Macaca fascicularis: one gene and its partner. Each later gene encodes a partner of the first gene's protein in a complex. Links are inferred from orthologs where the notes say so. Each region holds a gene or a part of one and is shown on either strand. Other genes may lie near its edges.

Evidence for each region.
Region 2: the proteins of PTH2R (region 1) and PTH2 are in contact, whole or in part, in a cryo-EM structure (PDB 7F16), measured with the Homo sapiens proteins. The link is inferred for Macaca fascicularis from reciprocal best matches to the Homo sapiens genes PTH2R and PTH2. Residues at the interface, in NP_005039.1 of Homo sapiens: Thr31, Ile32, Ile34, Gln37, Ile38, Asp68, Gly69, Leu70, Ile90, Tyr91, Asp92, Phe93, Met112, Lys117, Ala120, Tyr122, Leu126, Gln130, Pro131, Ser134, Lys137, Gln138, Phe141, Glu142, Tyr152, Arg190, Ile194, Lys197, Val201, Ile205; in NP_848544.1 of Homo sapiens: Ser62, Leu63, Ala64, Leu65, Ala66, Asp67, Asp68, Ala69, Ala70, Phe71, Arg72, Glu73, Arg74, Ala75, Arg76, Leu77, Ala79, Ala80, Leu81, Glu82, Arg83, Arg84, Trp86, Leu87, Tyr90, Met91, Lys93, Leu94, Leu95.

What each region holds. Positions count from the first base shown.
Region 1 is NC_088386.1:104,433,026-104,436,635, forward strand, and holds the end of PTH2R (parathyroid hormone 2 receptor), read left to right. Parts: intron 1-1,432; coding exon 1,433-1,828; 3' UTR 1,829-2,653; downstream 2,654-3,610. UniProt on the Homo sapiens protein: This is a specific receptor for parathyroid hormone. The activity of this receptor is mediated by G proteins which activate adenylyl cyclase. PTH2R may be responsible for PTH effects in a number of physiological systems.
Region 2 is NC_088393.1:57,370,608-57,374,458, reverse strand, and holds PTH2 (tuberoinfundibular peptide of 39 residues), read left to right. Parts: upstream 1-1,543; 5' UTR 1,544-1,733; exon of another isoform or gene 1,734-1,829; 5' UTR 1,830-1,832; coding exon 1,833-1,954; exon of another isoform or gene 1,955-2,519; coding exon 2,520-2,694; 3' UTR 2,695-2,735; downstream 2,736-3,851. UniProt on the Homo sapiens protein: Plays a role as a potent and selective agonist of PTH2R resulting in adenyl cyclase activation and intracellular calcium levels elevation. Induces protein kinase C beta activation, recruitment of beta-arrestin and PTH2R internalization.

The DNA.
Region 1 (3,610 bases):
CTTTCTTACCAGTGTTTTACTGTCTGCTCTTTCTGGCTGCTTGTTGTTAGAAGGGAAGGGATTTCCTCAAAATGCATGAGGTTAGAAAGGGAGCTGGAACTTAAAGTGGTGGCGTTTGTCCAAGATGACGGCGCTTCTGCTCTGTCAGTCAGGTGTTGAGTTTTTTTGCCAAGATGAACAGATAGAAGTTTGTTGTTTCAGGTGACATCAGCATACCAGGTTTCCACTGCTTCCCATGGAAATTCCAAATAAGCTCCTTTCTGAAAAGTGGCAATTGAAGTAGAAATGAATCTTCAGTAGTAGGAATGGAAATAAGAGCCCCACCCTTTTAAGAACGCATTTGCAGTGCCTGCTTTTCTATCCACGAACCTTCTTTTCTCACTCTGAGTCCTTCAGGCTGCCGATGCAGACTGATAGCATGACAGTTACATCTCAAATTGAGTACCTTCTATGCCATTGCTCAGCCTCAGCTGGTGCCAAAGACATCAGCAATTTAAGTGGTAAAAACGGATTTTATTCAGTAACTGCTGACAGTAGGGGAAAGAGCTGAGCCCAATTCCAATTCACACAGAGGTGATTTGGGCATTTTAAAGGGAGAATGAGGGAGGTGGAGTGTAAGGGCTCAGTAGAGTCAGAGAAGTGAAAAAATGTTTGGTCAGTATCAACATGTTTAGGCCAGCTGTGCTACCAAGCAGGCAGTTAAGTTAGAATTCTATCTTCCACAGAGACTGGGAGACAAGAGGCCTTATCCCTCTTGATGATTATATTTTGAAGGGATGGCTCTCAGGTCTTTGAGAGAGATGCTTCTGAATTACAAGAGCTGCATACTTACAACTGTGAGCCTTTTTAGTAAATGTCCTAAGAAAGGGGAGTCATGGGCCTATCATCAGGTGTGTGCTAGCTACAGCAAATAGTAAATTCTCCTGGCAGCACTGAGCTTTCTCAGGCAGGACTATCAATGGCTGAGATCATCCTAGGGAAGCCACGCTGTGCTGCTAGAAGCTGTGCTTGAGTTTGGGCGAGTGTCAGTGCAGGGGTTCCAATGGGCTTGTCATGTGCCAAGCAGGAGTTCTGAAGTTCTCACTGGCACTGTTTATCTTGAGTTTCTCTTCCAACCCAGAATCTCTTTTTTTTTTCTCTCCCGTATGTCAGATATTTCTATTGGCTGCATTTAAACTTCTATTTAAATTCTGATCTTGGACAGGTCCCTTTACCTCTCTCTAAGCTTCAATTTGCTCACTTCCAAAACTAACACCTATCTCAAAGGTATTTTTTGCGGTTGAGAGAAAATACATAGATGAAGTCCCTGGCAGGTAGAGGTACCTCAATCAATGATTATTGCTGTCATTGAAATCAAGGCAAACCTCCTTGTAACAAGGCTGCAGGGTCTCCTTTAGGATTTCTCATGCACAACCTGTTTCTTGTGGCTTAGGTTCAGGCAGAGGTGAAGAAGATGTGGAGTCGGTGGAATCTCTCTGTGGACTGGAAAAGGACCCCGCCATGTGGCAGCCGCAGATGCGGCTCAGTGCTCACCACCGTGACGCACAGCACCAGCAGCCAGTCACAGGTGGCGGCCAGCACACGCATGGTGCTTATCTCCGGCAAAGCTGCCAAGATTGCCAGCAGACAGCCTGACAGCCACATCACCTTACCCGGCTACGTCTGGAGTAACTCAGAGCTGGACTGCCTGCCACACTCTTTCCATGAGGAGACCAAGGAAGGTAGTGGGAGGCAGGGAGATGATCTTCTAATGGAGAAGTCTTCCAGGCCTATGGAATTTAACCCAGACACTAAAGGATGCCAAGGGGAAACTGAGGATGTTCTCTGAATGGACATTTGTGGCTAACTTTCATGGGCTGGTCCAATGGCTTGGCTGATATTCCTATGCTTGAACTCAAAGGCTGAAAATTCAGAGTTAAGGTGTAACTTAAAGTTTTAGGCTCCATGAATCGGCTCCTGTAAATACGAAAGACATGAAAAGGCAAGTGTCAACGGAGTAGTTTATTACCTTCTCTTGGCATCAAGTTTTCCACTAAATTAATGTATGGTATTTTCTCTGTGATTGTTCATGTTTTTTCTGCTACTTTTGGGTAGAAAAAAGTTTCAATTGCTTGGTGGTAGCTTTCTCTCGTATATATCACCCTAAATATAATGAAGATCATTTAGTGTGTATCAGTTTCCTTTTAGGAACTAGTATTCTCTTATTTCTTACTTTAATGTACTTCTATCATTGCATTTATTTTGCCTGTGCATAGGGGCAATTAGGATCTAAAAAAATATGTGGGAAGATAAAAGTTCTAAGAACAAGTACTTGCTGGAAAATTAGTTGGCTGGACATTGATAAAATAATGCATTTATAACAATTACACATGTTTCTAGGAACAAGGAAAATTTCTCAAAAAAGAATATTTCACACATCCCTTCTTTTGAATGTCCTCTTTGTGACCAGCCAGACCTCAGGTCTTCACTCTTTCTTCTTTGTAAACCATGTCCTATAGAAAGGTTTCCTCAGTTATTGAGCTTCTGTCTGCAATTGATTTTGTTTGTAATTTATTTTGATAGCAAATCACACTGCATCTATATCTTTTTCTTGTCTGAGCTATTACTACATTGTACATGGCATGTGGGAGCAATTAAAAATTTGTTTTAAAAATACATTTTGGATCACTTTTTAAAATTTTTCTTTCAATATCTCACTTTATTTTTGAGAAACAACCAAACTTCCCTTCTTTAAATGTACACATATCAACATTTAGCTTTTGTACTTTATTCAACTTGAAATTTCAGTATGTTGCAGTTTTGAAAACTTTTATTGAGGGCATGTTATGTATCGGCAGGCATGCTGCTAGGTTCTTACAAGCATTCATTTATTTAATTCTCACTATAATTTATGCAGTAAGTCTTATTACTGTCGCCTCTTTTACAGATGACAGTGTGACTTGTAGGGGTGGAGTTAACTTGCCCAAAGTCGCCCAGCTGGTCATTGACAGCTCTATTGACTTTAAGTCCCATGTTCTTAATCATTATGTTGTATTGTCACTAGTATATATGTAGTCTATTAACCCATCAAAAATTCAATAAGGCCGGGCGCGATGGCGCACGCCTGTAATCCCAGCACTTTGGGAGGCCAAGGTGGGCGTATCATGAGGTCAGGAGATCAAGACCATCCTGGCCAATACAGTGAAATCCCGTCTCTACTAAAAATACAAAAAATTGGCCAGGTGTGGCGGCACAAGCCTGTAGTCCCAGCTACTTGGGAGACTGAGGCAGGAGAATCACTTGAACCCAGGAGGTGGAGGTTACAGTAAGCTGAGATTGTGCCACTGCACTCCAGCCTGGGCAACAGAGCAAGACTCCGTCTCAAAAAAAAAAAAAAATCAATGAATTCTTAATAGAGAGTACTTGGGAGTCTTGCACTGTAGTATGTTTTAGCCTCTGATCCTCATAAAATTTCCACTCTAGTGGAGAAGACGTACACCTAGGAAATAAAAAAAAAATCACAGAACAATATGTTTCCAGATAAAATGACATGGATCCAGCTGATCTATGTCATTTTGCTGAATGACTTAACCAATAGGCAAGTAGTGTCATGATGAATAAAGTTCTCCAA
Region 2 (3,851 bases), on another chromosome or scaffold:
TCTCCTACCTGGAAACCCAGGGGTCTAGTTCTCTGGTACCTTCCTATTTCAAGTCCCCTAAGTTGTACCCCACAGCTCCCTCCCCCTAGACTCAGAACTCCAGTCCTCTACCTCCTTCCTTCCTCAGATCCAGGAATCCAAGTCCCTAGCCTCATCCTCTCCCAGAACATAGGAATCTGGGTCCCTGTCCCATCCACTCTTAGACTCAGGAGCCCAAGCTTCTGCTACCACCTTCCTAGGAAACTAGGAGCCCAAGTTCCCACAACCCAAATTGCTACTGCTCTGTAGGACTTCCAAGTTTTGCCCATCTTCTCCTCACTTGCTCCTCTTTTTAAAATTATTATTTTTTGAGGCAGAGTCTCTCTCTGTTGCCCAGGTTGGAGTGCAGTGGTGCAATCTCAGCTCACTGCAACCTCCAACTCCCGGGTTCAAGCGATTTTCCTGCCTCAGCCTCCCAAGTAGCTGGGATTACACCACACCTAATTTATGTATTTTTGTAGAGAAGGAGTTTCGCCACGTTGGCCAGGCTGGTCTTGAACTCCTGATCTCAAGTGATCCACCCACCTCGGCCTTCCAAAGTGCTGGGATTACAGGTGTGAGCCACTGCACCCGGCTGAGGCCCCTCTTAAGAGTCAGCGTGGGCTGGGCGCGCTGGCTTATGCCTGTAATCCCAACACTCTGGGAGGCCAAGGCGGGCGGATCACGAGGTCAGGAGCTCAAGACCAGCCTGGCCAACAGTTTGGCGAAACCCCCGTCTCTACTAAAAATACAAAAATTAGTCACAAGTGATGGTGGACACCTGTAATCCCAGCTACTAGGGAGGCTGAGGCAGAATGGCTTGAACCTGGGAGGTGGAGGTTGCAGTTAGCCGACATGGTGCCATTGCACTCCAGCCTGGGCAACAAGAGCAAGACTCCGTCTCAAACAAACAAACACAAAAAAAGAGTCAGTGTGAGGAGGACTGGGCTTTAATCTTAACAGCACCCCCAAACTCCTCCCAGATAAGGATTTAGACACATCCTCAGGGCAGCTCAGGAGCCCTATCTGTTTTCCCCTCTTCACTCTCTCTCTGAGGCTTTTCTGATGTTGTCTGTTACTTTTCCTGTCCTCACACCCCTGCCACACGTACCCTTTGCCATTTCTTGCCTTTTCCCCCCTCACCATCTCACCCTCGGTCTTTCTGGGCCTCTCCCTGCTGGATTTATCTCTGGGCAGCTCCGTCCAGGCCAGGATGTCCTTCCATTGCCGTCTGTCTTTCTGAGAGCCTTTTCTTTCTCTCCTCCATCTCCGTCTGACTGTTCGTTTCCATCTCCTTTGCTCTCTTTTCTTGTTTTCTTCCTTTTCCTTTCTTTTTCCGTCGTTCCCTTTCTTTCTATTTCTTCCTCGGCCACTCTGTCTTTGTCCTTCTCTTTGTGTCTCTGTTCCTCTGACGGTCCTTCCGCCAGTCTCTATTTTTAGCCCTCCGACACACCCCCTGTGTCCACCTCTCTGTCTGTCTGTCTCTCCCCCTCCCTCGTCTCAGGTCCAGCTTCTGGTCCCAATTAGTTGGTGGCGGCCAAGGCAGCGGCAGGTCCCCCACCCCCGGCTCCTCATTACCGCTGGCGGCTCCTAATGAGCCTGGGGAGGGGGTGACCCCGCGCCCCCGGCCCCCCGGCCTGCGTCACTGCCCGGTGCGGGGGCTGCGGAGGCGATATAAGGGGGCTGCCAGCATCGCTGCCCGAGACCACTGCGCGGTAGGGGACCGTGCGGGAAGCTGGGGGTGGGTGCATGGTAGGGCCGGGGTTTCTGGGCCGGGATGCAGCCCCACTGAGCCCCTTTCTGGTTCACAGGTGATGGAGACCCGCCAGGTGTCCAGGAGCCCTCGGGTTCGGCTGCTGCTGCTGCTGTTGCTAGTGGTGCCCTGGGGCGTCCGCACTGCCTCGGGAGTCGCCCTGCCCCCGGTCGGGGTCCTCAGGTAGGTGCCAGGGCCAGAACTCCCAGGGAGGGGTGGGGACCTGGAGAAGTGGGAAGAGAACCAAAGAGAAAGGGGACAGAAGACCCAGAAAGAGGGACAGAAGCCCAAAGAGAGGGCGACCGAGACCCAGCGAGAAGACGGAGACTAGGGGTGGTGGAAGGCGGGAGGAGGGTTTGGTGGTGGTGGTGGTGCGGGAACGGACAGAGAATCAGCAAGGGAAAGACACACAGAAAGATAGATGCCGAGAAAGGCATGGAGAAGGCTGGAAAGGAGCCGATGCAGAAATGGATTCGTTCTTTGAGCAACGTTTAGTGGGTTCTTGGTGTGCGCCTGGCCATGTGCTGAGCGCTGTGGGCGGACAAGTGCATCAGACTCGGTCTCAGTACCTGGGGAGTTTCGAACCTGGTGAGCAGAGAGACAGAGACCCACACAGAGAACGAGACAGAGGGAGCCGGACCGACCCACTCCACCGACGGGGCAGTAATAGGGCTTCAAGTTAGACCGCGGGGAGGACAGGCGGCGGCGAGCGCGGATCTGGACGCGCGGTCACCGAGTCTCTCCACAGCCTCCGCCCCCCAGGACCGGCCTGGGCGGATCCCGCCACCCCCCGGCCGCGGAGGAGCCTGGCGCTGGCGGACGACGCGGCCTTCCGGGAGCGCGCGCGGTTGCTGGCCGCCCTCGAGCGCCGCCACTGGCTGAACTCGTACATGCACAAGCTGTTGGTGTTGGACGCGCGCTGAGCGCGCCGCCTGTCCCCATCTTAATAAAGACCCTGCCGTGCGCTCCGGACTGCGCCTCGTTCCTGTGCGACCTGCGTGTGCGTCGGGTTGGGGGCGCAGGGCTGGAAAGGTTGGGGTAGAAAAGAGACAGAACTCTGCGTCGGCCACTCTGGCATCTCTCCCTTCAGTTCCCACTCTATTTTCTTTCCTCAATTCCGTTTCTCTGCCTCTGTCTTTGTCCAGGAAGCTAGCTTCTTGCCTATTTCTGGATCTCTGCTTCCCTACCGCCCCCCACCTCCGCTCTGTCCCCTCCTTTCATTCTGGGTCCCTGTCCCTCCCTACCCCCGTCTCTGTCCCCTTCTCTGTTTCTCTGTAATCTCCAAGGTCTCTGTCCTCCTCTGTCTCTGCCCCCTTCTCTGGGTCTCTTTCCTCTCTGGGTCTCTTTCCTCTCTGGGTATGTGTCCCCGTCTCCCTGAGTCCTTGCGGGTATCTCCCCTTTTACCCTCTTGGCTTTCTGGTCTTCTGAGAATCTCTGCCTCCTCTCTCTATTCTCCTTCTGCCTCTGAAACTCTTCCTTTCCTTCTCCCTCACTTTCTTTTTTCCTTTTTCCTCTGCCTGACTCCTTCATATCTTCCTTTTTTTCCTCCGTTAGGTTTCTATCTGTCTCTCCACCAGCTCTCACCTTTGCATTTCGCTGTTCCTCCCTCCCATCACTTCCAGACTTCTCCCCAGGCACAGTGGAAAGATCGTGGGCCCTGGTGTGAGGCAGCCCTAGCATCCAAACCCAGGGTCCTCCAAATCTAGCTGCGTAGTATTGAGAAAGCCTTCTTGACGTCAGTCTCCGTGCCTCCTTTTCTTCATCTGCTACGAGGATCCAATAAGCTATCCTTCATAAGACTTCAGCACAGCGCCTGTCACGTAGCAAAATGCTTTTTTTATTTTTTTTGAAAAGGGTTTCCTCCTCTCACAGCAGCCTCCAGCGATTTTTTTTTCAGGGTTTTCCGACTTCAGGTCTCCTTCTCGGGAGACCACCGGGGCACCAGGCTGGGGCAGGAGAAGAGGAGAGAGGAGCAGGCGTCAGGCTCCAAAAAGGACAGGGAAAGGGCGGGGAGATACCTGGGCTGCAGGTGAAGTGAGAAAAGAGCCAATCAAAATCTGTCTCTCTCCCGGGAGGTCCA